2 linked regions of the Daphnia pulex genome follow. The protein of the gene in region 1 interacts with the protein of each later gene in a biochemical or structural test. Links are inferred from orthologs where the notes say so. Each region holds a gene or a part of one and is shown on either strand. Other genes may lie near its edges. The genes, in order: homeobox protein extradenticle-like and homeotic protein Sex combs reduced-like.

Region 1 (6,619 bases):
GGAATCTGGAATCTGGAATGGAATCTGGAATGGAATCTGGAATCTGGAATGGAATGGAATGGAATCTGGAATGGAATGGAATCTGGAATCTGGAATGGAATGGAAGGTAACAATATCCAGAAGTAGAAGTAAAGGTAACAATATTTTGTATTGCACGACAAAGTTTCTTAGAGTAAATAATTACAGAATTAACTTGTAAGTTGTAAGCACAGCATATATAACTTAATTATTTCTTAGTAGTAAACAATTCTGTGTATGTTAAGCAGTAAAACAAACTTTGGGTGAGACAAAAGGAAAATTTATTTATAGTAGGACTACTACACAAACAAATTTTTTATTGTATGGTATGATTATGAACACAGCAAGTAATAGATATGAATATAGATGTCTTGACGTTTCTTCCCGAAATCTGGGGGCCAATAGGCCCGACCTTCTGTTTAGTCTTCGACCCTCGGTTTAGGTTAAGGGGATTTTAGTGTGTAACATTTATAGGGTTCTTTTTCCACGAACGTGCATTATTTTGTGTCCAATGATTATTTTATTTCTAATTTAGATTTATCTGAAGAACTGAATTTCATGAGGCCTTGTGGACAAGAAAAACGGAACTTAGACCTCATCACTCTCCGGCCTCTTTATTCACGTGAAAATCCCAGTGAAGAATGGACGGTAAAGTCACGAGTTTGCCAAGCTTTCAACGCGCTTCAACCACATTCAAAACCGAAGAAAAAACAAATGGCAATCTGAACTGGTTGTTCAGACATATAACAGCCGATCAAAGGATTCATCCCATCGAAAACGATCAGCAGAATCGGTGAGCGATGTGTCAGAGGAGAAAAGACCTCCGTGTCGAGGAAGGCGCACTAATCCTAAATGCGACTTCCAAGTAATAATCGAAGAAAATCCTATGACTATCGATGACAACTGACAATTCCCAATTTCTACTCAACAGTCGACCAGCGAGGAGAAATAGGTAATGTCGTTGACAAAACCTAGACGACGCCCTGGTCAACCACGGCACCACGAAAGGTGAAGAAAACTTCCGGGTAAAATCGGTAAAATACTTAAATTCTTTCGGGTTGCTATTTTTTTCACAAGCAAAGACGATGTGTTATTGTGAGTGTTGACAGTTGACTTGTTTGAATTCTAAATTCAGAGACCAAAGTGTGATGCTGCTTAAGCACGGACTCTGTATTTAAAATTGAACAAAACCTTATTGAAAAGGCTATTTTTAGATTTAATATAATGTAGCTTTTTTTAGACTTTTGTAGGTCATACGCTATTTTGATCTCTTTTTTTAAATGAAAAAAAAATCGCAAATATCCCTTCGGGTACCTTGCTAACGCAGGTAGCTGACAATTCACCATAGGTTTATCTGAAAATGCGCTAGGTGTCTCTGATCGTTCAAGTGTTATTCAAAAACTCTTCTGCACTTTTTTTGTGAAGACCTTTTCTTTTCCTAAAGAGATTAAATTGAAATTGATTACAATGCTCAGTTTAAGGCATTTTCAGAAAATTAGAAGAATTAAGGTAATTTGGTTTATAGCTTCAAAACTGTGTTTTTCAACATTCATTTTCTGCTACTATTCAGACATGTACACAAAATTACGTAAGACGATCAGCCTCAAGCTATGGGCAAAGAAATGCTGTAGATATCGGAATTCACGGTTATTCGTTATTGGTAAGATAATCGATTTTAAAAATAAAACGTACATATAGTTCTTTAACAAAAAATTGATCCAATAAATGTAGGCTATTCCAGCCATCACTTTCGGCCTTGGGACCTGGCAGATTTTCAGACGTCAGTGGAAACTTGGTGTTATTGATCATCTTGCCAGCAGAACGTCTGCACCACCAATTCCATTTCAGTCTACAGAGTGAGACTGATACAATTCTTTAACTCTACCCTTTTATGCATATTTACACCAATGCTCTACAGTATTGAAGGGCTATCTGACATGGAATACCGGAAGTTTGAACTCCATGGAAAATTTGAACATGACAAAGAGATTTACATTGGGCCAAGATCACTGGTTGGAAATGAAAAAAATGAAGGTGGTGGGATGTTGTCTTCAGGGCAGAGTGGCTATTTAGTCATCACTCCATTTAAACTATCAGATTCCAAGTAAGACATTCAAACAGTTAATTTTCTCAATTTTCTACAAGTTACTTTTAGTCTCACAGTTCTTGTAAACCGCGGATGGATTCCTCGTAAAAAAATGAATCCATTCACCAGACTAAATGGACAAAGAGAAGGCGAAACAAAACTGATTGGAGTGTACCGCTCTAATGAAAATCGCCCCCAGTTTGTACCCCAAAATCAGCCCAAAGACCGCATGTTTCATTTCAGGTAAAGACAATTATATTTTTCGCAAAGTTAGATAACTTCATATATATTGCGTACAGAGATGTGGAGGGAATGGCTCGGCTTCTAGACACTGCGCCAATTTTCTTTGACGCGGACGCTGATAGCACAGTACCGGATGGACCTGTAGGTGGACAAACAGTTGTTACTGTTAGAAATGAACACGTTTCGTACATTTTAACGTGGTATTCATTATCAATTATCACAGCATTTTTGTGGCATCGACGATTTATCAAGAAAATGCCTCTTATGTAACTTAAATGTATTTATCTTCATAGAGGTTAAAGTCAAATTAATACATTTTAACATCAAACATCATTATATTTTTACTCTTGTTGCGTTTTCATTTGTAAAAATAAAATTTTAATTAATAAAATTCAAAATAAAAAATAAATACAGTATCGCGAGTTTCTAGTACATCGATTATTGGCTTACCCGATATAATTATCGATACTTACCTTTGTGATCGCGTTCTCGCGTCTTTTTTGCTTTGTCCCGTCGATAATCTCGGCGATCTCTGGTAATTATTTTATGAGCCTTTGAGAAATGTGATTCAGTCTGTTTGAATACTAAACAACTCGTGAATTCCCGGTTTCAAATTGTGTGTCAAGTCAGTAAAGAAAGTTTTTATTCTAATTGAAAGAAATACGCTACGCAAGCAAACTTCTCTTCCATGGCGGACGCTTGTCGCCTTGGGCATTTTATAAGACGTTGGCATTTTTATATTAACCGAAGCCAATTTTTGTTATTTACGATTGCTTTCTTGCAATACTAGTGCTTTGTTGTGTCTAGTACATTTCATTTTATGTTTACATTTCATGAAATCACATGTATGGATGTTAGTAAACGGAAAGTCATTGTTTACAGGGTCTTTATTGCCAGGTCCTGTAGCCTGAAGGCAATACGTTTTGTGCAGTGACATTGGAAGATTTCATTGCTTTTGATGGATGATCCAAATCGACTTATGCATCCTGTTCCAGGTGGCCAGGTTGGACTAATGCATCAGCCACCGTATGGGTTACCTCCTGTCAATGTCGGAGTCAATGTTGGGGTTAACATGGCTTCACTTGATGGAGGGAACCAAGACTCTGAAAATATGACTGGACGAAAGCAGGTGTGTACAATTCCATTTCCAAAATCTTTTTTTCCTTTTAAGTAAAACTTCTTTTTTTTTAGGATATTGGAGAAATTCTGCAACAGATCATGAACATCACAGACCAGAGTCTTGATGAAGCCCAAGCACGCAAGCATACCCTGAACTGTCATCGCATGAAACCTGCTTTGTTTTCTGTCTTGTGTGAAATCAAAGAGAAAACTGGTAACCCTATTTCAATATGAATCCAAGTGATTGAATGGTAACATTAAATTGTGCTCTCACTTTAGTTTTGTCGCTACGCAACACGCAAGAAGAGGAGCCTCCAGATCCGCAACTCATGCGGTTGGATAACATGTTGATTGCTGAAGGAGTAGCTGGTCCTGAAAAAGGAGGTGGGGCCGGTGCTGCTGCCAATGCATCAGCTGCAGCGTCTCAAAGCGGCTCAATGTCGGACTCGGCTATTGAACACTCTGATTATAGGGCTAAGTTGGCACAAATTCGTCAAATTTACCATCAAGAGCTTGAGAAATATGAGCAGGTACACATTTTTAGCAATGCTTATTTTTTTATTGGACCTCTATGACAAGAAAATGGAGAATAACCATTTCATTTTTACATCCGCTTTCAGGCTTGCAGTGAATTCACCACCCATGTTATGAATTTGCTCCGAGAACAATCCCGTACTCGTCCGATTACACCCAAGGAGATTGAGCGGATGGTTCAGATCATTCATCGCAAGTTTAGCTCCATCCAAATGCAGCTGAAGCAAAGCACTTGCGAGGCCGTTATGATTTTACGATCTCGTTTCCTCGACGCCAGGTAAATTTTGCTATTTTTTTAAGGTTTGACCACGCCCATTAAAGGTGTTGTTCTATCGATGTCTTCATCATGTAGGAGGAAGCGGCGTAACTTCAGCAAACAAGCTTCTGAGATCTTGAATGAGTACTTCTACTCGCACCTAAGCAACCCCTACCCAAGTGAAGAAGCCAAAGAAGAGCTCGCTCGTAAATGTGGGATCACCGTTTCACAGGTTAATTTCTTTTTAAATCCTTTTAAGAGGAATAAGCGCATTAATGTTTTGTTATTTTTACAAAAAAGGTTTCGAATTGGTTCGGTAACAAACGAATTCGTTACAAGAAAAACATTGGAAAAGCCCAAGAGGAGGCCAACCTGTATGCTGCTAAAAAGGCCGCGGGTAGTTGTTTCCACTCTGAGGATTTTCAAATCCTCGTATTACCGGAGCGATTCTAATTTTCGTACTTTTTCTTTCTCGTTAGGTTCCTCGCCATACAGTATGGCTGGAACTCCCGGACCGATGATGTCGCCTCAACCTGGTGGTCCTGAACTCAGGGGTCCACAAGATTCCTTAGGCCCGTACGGTGCTATGGGACTCAACGGTGGTGACTTTCCTTCCTCCATGGGCGGCCAAGTAAACTACTTTTAATGACTTAACTAGTGGTATCTCAGCATATTAATTAATGTAAACGTGTTTGTAGGGCTATGGCGATTCATCGATGGGTTATGATCCAAGTATGCATCAAGTGAATTCACCCTGAGGGGTGGACGAGTGCCCCTTCTCCTCCTCCACCCTATTTCTCGGCAAATCAACTCTTAATTTACTAACTTCATCAGATCTTGATCATACTGTGCGTTACAAGCTATCTTCAGCTGTTCGATTAACTCGTTCTAACCCATCTCGTACTCCTTCTTTTGTCCCTTCCTCTCAGTGCAGCTTTGTTGTTTCGTCTTGATAGAAAATGTTTCTGTGGATCACCTCGATCGGTGCTTGTTTTTTCTCATTTGTTTCAGAAACCTCTGTAGTTTTAATCGCTTTTGCGTATAGTTGAAACCGTCGATGTAGTCGTTATCGTTTTTATTTGACAACTAGAAGTGAACCGAACATCTCCGATTACAATCACGTACGCTCTCCCGTCACCGAAAAAACGATCATCAGTATTCTCGAAAATCCACATCCCACGGACCCGAGTCCTATTTCTAAAAAAACAAAAAAAACACAAGAATTCCCATCAAGTTTGCGTTTTAACTGAAAAAAAATACTTTTCTTTTGATATGGTGGTGGAACCGAATGCAATTTTTGGTATTAGAATATTTTGCAGTTCCTCCTCTGTCCTATAAAAAAAATGACTGGCGCTTTGAAGTGAAGCTCAAAATATTTCTTTCTCGTTGGTACGTTTTTATATTATTTTCCACTAATCCGTGTCTCCTTTTTAAACACTATATTCATCTGTTCACCGCGCAAATCCTTGCCATGAAATCATGTACAACCAATACATCCATTTCTAGGTGTCAACGTTCTTATTTTTTTCTCATTATTTTTTGAATGTTTTCAAATTTCAACCATCCCGAGGGTTGATGATGCAGTTCGTGTATCAGCGGCTCAGCGCCTTTCAGTGGTAGCAGATTTACATGTTGCATTTCGTGGAAGAGTGGTAGCAGACGGCAAATCTCTGACGTATTGTAGTCTGCTAACTTCTTTATTTTCTTTTCACTTATTTTGCTGCGCAAATAACTTGATTACGAACCGTTTTTGATTATCTACTACTTACCTTCTGTTTTAAAAGTTCTTGCTTCTCATAAACGGCATAAAATGTCATCAGCACGCCTTTTTTCTCGGGCTTTAGTGAACATAATTTCAATGCCTTCAAATATCTGTCTTCATAGTCGTTATTGTTCAGAAGCTGCTGTTAAACTAGGTATGATTCAACTTCATGTAAATATGTAATGTTAAGAAATGTTTGTGTTCTGTCTGGAATCTTGGAATGAATTCTTTGTCATTTTCCAGGCTCTATTGATTTTGAATCAGTGAAAGCTGGACTAGATAAGAAGAGCTTGACATACATAGATGTTCGTAATAGAAGTGAATTGCAAAAGGATGGCACGATTGTAGGAAGCTTCAACATTCCTTGTAAGAATTTAGTAGAAAGATTAATTTTAATAAGTGACTTCAATTTTGAGAAATTAACAGTGCCAGAGGTAACCAATGCATTTGCCATGAGCCCTGAAGATTTCAAACAAAAGTATGGCTTTCCCATGCCAGAGAAAAATGCAGATAACATTATTGTGGGCTGCCTGTTTGCAATCAGATCAAAAGAAGCTGGATTGTTTCTTCAGAAAATTGGCTATAACACCATAAGGTGATC
Region 2 (6,023 bases), on another chromosome or scaffold:
TCTCGTTTCTTGTTTTCTTATTCATGGCGTCGTGGCGACGCGCTCGTCTCCCTTTCGGCTTGTCTCATCCTTAATTATTCAACCTCTTGTCTCTTTGCGATCCTCTTCCTGATCGGACGATAGGATGTCACATCAATTACTTTCCTGGTCATCGCGTTTTATTATATCTAGAGCGGGAGGATTTCACCCCCTCCATCTCTAAATACGGTTCCCGTTTATTTTGTGGTTATCCGATTTTACCCGCTAAATGATCTCTTTCTCTTTTGTCTCGAGGGCCACAAATAATATCCAATATGAAAAGTAAGCGCCGTCGCTGCAATCTAACAGGGCAATGTATAGAGAGAGAGCGATGGTCGGGTTGCGTGGTGAATGTTTCTCTCTTGTGCGGTTGTTGAGGATGTTATTGTGTACTGTCCAACAACAGGGGTAGGAGCACCGCAAATAAGCCGGCACTCATCACCACCCTGGCAGGGCTTGTTCTTGTTCGGTTTTTCTCCTTTTTCCTGCCCAGCACTTCCTTAAATATACGAGGATATATATCTCGACGTATTTATACACTGACTGCTTACGTGCGCGCGTGTTTTACGCCCCTTTCAAAACATCAAAATGTTGGTTGGATTTTCTTTTTACGATTTTTTTGTTTGTGAAAATAAACCGACCAACAAACATTGGAAGAGCAACGTGATCACTTGGTCATCGCGTTTCAGGATCGCTCCTGTTTTTATTTTATTTTTTGAAATTTTTTGGTCTTCCCCTCCGTTTCTCTGGTCACAACAGGACAAAGTCAAATGAAGAGAAAGCGGAAGACAAGTGGTGTCATCGGCCTGGTGATTGTGTTTTCTTCTTTCTCGGCCGAGAGAGAGTGTGGCATATAGGCGGCCAACACGGGTAGCTGCAGCATCTGTCGAGTTGTCTTTCGTCGAGACTTTTGTCGCCGCTCGCATTGAAACTTCACGGGTTGTATCTGTTGGCTCGTTGTGGTGCAGCCAAGGCCCGAGCGCGCACATGAGAAAGTGGACCAAGTAAAAACAGACTTGCAGGAAAACAAGCCGAGACTCTGGCTTCTGCTGTTTGGTTTAAAAGCGACTAGAGTCTTACCACTAAATACACAGACGGGCACACGACAAAACAGGGCCGCAGCGACGTTACGATATGGAGAGAGAGAGATCTGGCTGCTCGCTCGCGCTCTCTCATCTCACACTGACCGCATCCGCACGGGACTCTTTTTTCTTTTTTTTGTTTTGTTTTGTTTTTTTCCCTATTTTTTCTTAGTACGACGGGACATTCTATTTGTCTCTGAATACCTGTAGAACTTCTGGCATTCCATTCATTACTCTTTTGCTCAAATCAACCCCCAGCAATCGCGTCCGTGCTGACGGAGCCTTCACGGAAATAGTCGACGGCTGGATGAGGGTCGATTTACAACCAACCCGTTGCCCTTCCGCTTTCGATCCGTTTCAATTTCGGTTTGGTTGGTTTTTCCGAGAAGCAAAGGAAAGAACGAGAATGTCTTGCACGATACTCGGAATTGTTATTATTATTATAATTAATTATTATGGGGCAATAAAACAACGCTCAAAATGAATACATACACACACACATAATATTGAATAATATTTTTTTTTTCGGGGGATGGAAAAAAGAGTAAAACAAAAAAGGACACACCCAAAATAGCGGGGAAGGAGTCAAGGAGTGAAAAACCAAAATAATAGAAAGAATTTTGCATTTATATAGGATGATTTTGCTTGCGACTTTTAGGGTCGTCGAAAATCATGGACTGAAAAACCGGCAAAAAAAAACAAACACATTTCAAACAACTATTTAATAGTAATAATGGTAATACGGCGTACAACGAAAGTCAACACACACGATTGGCAATCAAACGAAGGGCAACTCAAAGCAGAACACGATGATGACATTGAGAGGGGGGGAAAACAAAGAGACGACACTTTCGAATTTGCAAACTGGAGAGAAACGCAAAGTGGACAAAAAGAGAAACAAGTCGGCACATCGTCAAGAAGTTCAGTTCAACACAGCCAGTGTGTACGTGTGTGTGTGTGTTTGTGTTTGTGTTTGTGAGTGTACGTGGGTGTATGTACTCTATGTATAATCGAAGACGAGATGAAAGCTGGCCGTCCCTATCTGTTTGTGTGTGTCTGTCGCAAGTGTGTGCAATACAAGAACAATAAGTAGCGAGAGAGAGAGAGAAAGAGAAAAAGGAGACAGTCATAAAGATGAGTCGAAAACAGACGCGCAAGGGTGAGGGAGAACGTGAGCCGTCATGTTTTTGCGCAGCTGTAATACATTTTTCTCGTTTTTGCTTTGTTTTCCCATTTTATTTTCCCGTGGATTATTAACGATCTTAGGTACGACCGTTAAGTGATCCAATTATGAATCGGAAAGCGTCACATTATTTTTATTTTTTTTTACAAAATCCAGCTTCAGCGGTCCACCGAAATTTCTCTTTTTTTTTTGGGTCGAATGAATATTGATGGCTCTCTATACACACTCATCCACATGGCATAATAATAATAAATTATGGAAAAAAGGGGAGGAGGTGGCAGAAAATTGTTTGCAATGGGCACACGCAGCGCATGAAACACTTGCACATATACCGGTATTATTTTTACACAGGCAGATGAAGAGAGGAGGAGGAGGAGTATAGAGTACGACGACGATGAGGAACAACGGGAAAGAGGTTTTTAGAATATGTATAATATCGTACCGCACACACAAAGTCACACTGGAACATCGGGTGGGGCCTTTTTTTCATTTTTCATTTCTCACTTGTTTGCGGCCGCCAGTTTTTGTTCTCGATCGAAGATTTCATTGAATTCTTATGGATGAAGGAAACAATCCTTGCGGGAGAGTGTTCTTCTTCGTCTTGTCGATTGTGTTGTTTGTCTTGTTGTTTGTTGTTGTTTAGAATTTTGTACAATCAAAGTCACATGCAAAAAATGTTTTTATAGCAACACAAAGATTTTTTTTAGAGTACTTAGAGAGTGTTTAGCGCCTCGACACAATGTCGACCATTTTCTATCCATCTTTCTTCTCCTAATGATCTGTCTGTGCTGGGCTTTCCATCCGTTATTGGGTGGAGGCTGGTGACGATCCGTATTGGTGGTAATTGTAGTCGCCGGGTCCTACAGGTGTACTAGTAGGGTAGAACCCAACGTCCTGCGCTAGCTATATCTTGTGATCACCTGTACAACGAACAAAATGTTAGAAAAATTGTAGATCGTTTTTTGTTAGAACTTAGTTTCGTCTTTTTTTTTCAAAATGGTTATAACTGTGGCACACGACCCCGATTTTGGGGTCTTGTCTTATTTACCAGTCAAGTCGGCCATCGTTAAATGATGATGGTGATGGTGAGCGTGGTACATCATGGGGTGCTGGTGCATCATATTCATAGTGGCAATCTTGTGCTCCTGTATCGTGCATCATCAAAATGAATAATTGCTCGTTAAAAATCGATAGCCAGAAAAGAAGGGACGAATTGAGAAAGCGAAAGTTTGGTTTCAAACAAACAAGAAAGACAAAAAAACAAAAAACAAAAAGTAAATATATCGCCTTATACTTTCAAACGAGATTATTCGCTTTTATATTTAAAGAGTGTGTAACGGCGCCAACCTTTTTCCATTTCATGCGCCGGTTTTGGAACCAAATTTTAATTTGCCGCTCAGACAGGCAGAGGCTGTGAGCGATCTCGATCCGTCTCCTTCGGGTCAGGTAGCGATTAAAGTGGAATTCTTTCTCCAGTTCCAGTGTCTGGTAGCGCGTGTACGACGTCCTCTGGCGCTTAGTTTCTCCATTAGCGTTGACTGCGTCTATTTGGACAAAAACAAAAAAATAAATAATTCGCCAATTAATTCACTCAATTTTTTTTCCCTTGTTCGCTCAATTGTTTAAAATTTGAAAAATGCCTAAAATGTCAATTTTTTTTTTTTTTTTGTTTCTTTTGCAGAACTTCCGGAAAGTCTGTCGGTTTTTTTCCAGCCAACGGTCAATACGTCGTAATCAGATGACGACTTGAACCGGCAGAAGAGAAAGAACAGGAAATGCGCAGTCACATCGCACAGGTGCGTGCGCTTCCGTTTTATGGTTGTTTTTTTTTTTCAATAATAATAATAGTAAATGCCCCACGTTGTGCAACATGCACCGGCCACAGCCGGACGCGCATGAACGTTCTGTTAGTGGGACTCTTTAAAACCAAAAAAGGGGGGTGAGGTGGTGGTTTGCATCTTTTTGTTCTATTATAAGTCTCGGAATGGACACGCCGGCGAAAGCGTTTTGGGTGTCTCATTGCGGCGCATGTGTGTGTACCAATCGTCCGCTATCGGTACTTCGCCAAAAAAAGATGCCGGGTTATACGTGGTTGAGTGGTGCGCTGCACCACCAAACTGAGCTGGAACTATAGTAGAAACTCTCGGTTTCTTCATCTTCTTCTTCTTTTTCTTCTTTGGTCGTGACAATCTCCTTACTTTTTCTTCCCTCTTGTTTTACGTGGGGTTGGGGGAGGGGGCTGGGTTGTCAACCTTTTCAAAGAAGGGAAATGAAATTCATAAGACCCTCTGCGCACACGTTTACGACGAGAGAAAAAAAAGTACCAGCTTCCGGAAACTTTGGTTTCCATTTCAATGTCTTAAAAGTCACCCCCTCGAACCCCCCAGTCTTTTTTTTTTCCAGACTCTTTCTCAAATATGAGAAATTGTAAACGGTTTCTATCCTAGTTCTATTCTTTCACCCTCCTGAGCAGCTCCTTTTCATTACAATAGTTCAAATTCACCACTGCTGCTGCTGCTTATTTGCCTCTGTGGCTAGCTTTTATCACTTTAACAGTACACACGGCGGCTTTGTGTGTGTTACTGTGTAAAGTCCGGCAGCAATTTGCAAATTTACTCAAAAAGGGGGGGGGGGGGCTCTCTTTCTTTTAAGTTTTCAAAATGGAAATTTTCGTCGGAGCTAAACAAATTGGAAATGAAACAGTGGACGTTGAACTTTTCCCATTTTTGGGCTTTTTTCGATAACTGGGAAGAAAAGGGGAAGAAACTATAAAAAGGTGCATTTACTGGGTTATCAATTAGATTATGTGCTTATGGTCCCGTAGGTACACGAATAGAATTGTCAATGGAACTTGTACACGGAAATCTATCGAGGAACCGATAAACGCCCACGTTCCAACGTCGGCGACCGCTGATGTGAATGCACAATTTGCTGTTAATCTACTGGAGCACTGATGGAGTCGCAAGGAGGCGGAGATGGAATGAGAAGTACTCTCAACACAGTCTTTCTGGCTCTATTGTGTAATATACGGGGAAAGAGGGGAGGATTTTAGGCCTCGCTCGAGTCGTACGAGTGTGCGCTCCGTGCCATGCGGCGCTCGACTTTTCTTGCCGGTGGAGAGATAGCGTAGAGACTGGTTGAATTCCAAGCACGCGTTTTTCTATACACTGGCGGCGTCTTTTACACAAAACAACTACCTTTTCCTCTTTGAATCCGAGTCAAGCGGGAATAGTTATACAACACAGATGACGAGTGATTGATGTTGGAAGAGACTTTAATGACCAGTTGATTGGCACATCATCATCATCATTATGCGGCGGAATGACGGCAAGCGCGGTCTTATTACGTCACGAGTCTCAAATAGGGTTTGGCTTGTAATAAAATACCTGGATCTGATTTTTTTTTTTAACCTTTTTCGCATTCCAGGAATGAAATTTACCCCCAAAAAAGTTAGATTTTGTTTAAAAAAAAAAAAAGTGTAGCTGTTTAGGCCTATGGAGGAGGACTTGTTGCTAATAGTTGGAGCTGGTAGAAATGTGAACGTGTTTATGTTGATACAAAGTGGTATATACTACGGTAGTCTCGGCAAATGGACGGGCTGTAAACAAATAAATGGTTCCTGGAGAGTGTACGGTATATGTACGGTAGTTGGTTAAGACTGTTGCAAAACAGGGCCATAAAAAAAACTTTTGGCCAGTTTTACGACGGCTCGTAAATGTCATTCAAAAGGGAAACCATCA

The links.
Region 2: the proteins of homeobox protein extradenticle-like (region 1) and homeotic protein Sex combs reduced-like are reported together in a solved structure, tested with the Drosophila melanogaster proteins (2 studies listed by BioGRID, with this or other methods). The link is inferred for Daphnia pulex from reciprocal best matches to the Drosophila melanogaster genes exd and Scr.

The regions. Positions count from the first base shown.
Region 1 is NC_060023.1:11,354,631-11,361,249, forward strand, and holds homeobox protein extradenticle-like, read left to right. Parts: upstream 1-2,795; 5' UTR 2,796-2,882; exon of another isoform or gene 2,883-2,972; intron 2,973-3,229; 5' UTR 3,230-3,305; coding exon 3,306-3,476; intron 3,477-3,538; coding exon 3,539-3,680; intron 3,681-3,745; coding exon 3,746-3,996; intron 3,997-4,086; coding exon 4,087-4,277; intron 4,278-4,352; coding exon 4,353-4,488; intron 4,489-4,556; coding exon 4,557-4,656; intron 4,657-4,735; coding exon 4,736-4,887; intron 4,888-4,954; coding exon 4,955-5,014; 3' UTR 5,015-5,769; downstream 5,770-6,619. Other genes in the region: surfeit locus protein 1-like, read left to right, coding at 1,486-1,527, 1,589-1,678, 1,750-1,874, 1,937-2,122, 2,174-2,347, 2,404-2,617; rhodanese domain-containing protein CG4456-like, read left to right, coding at 6,067-6,172, 6,262-6,384, 6,445-6,613. UniProt on the Drosophila melanogaster protein: Transcription factor which acts with the selector homeodomain proteins altering the regulation of downstream target genes such as wingless (wg), teashirt (tsh) and decapentaplegic (dpp), thus affecting segmental identity.
Region 2 is NC_060024.1:12,425,402-12,431,424, reverse strand, and holds the end of homeotic protein Sex combs reduced-like, read right to left. Parts: intron 4,080-6,023; exon of another isoform or gene 3,965-4,079; intron 3,828-3,964; coding exon 3,631-3,827; intron 3,429-3,630; coding exon 3,332-3,428; intron 3,204-3,331; coding exon 3,187-3,203; 3' UTR 1,510-3,186; downstream 1-1,509. UniProt on the Drosophila melanogaster protein: Sequence-specific transcription factor which is part of a developmental regulatory system that provides cells with specific positional identities on the anterior-posterior axis.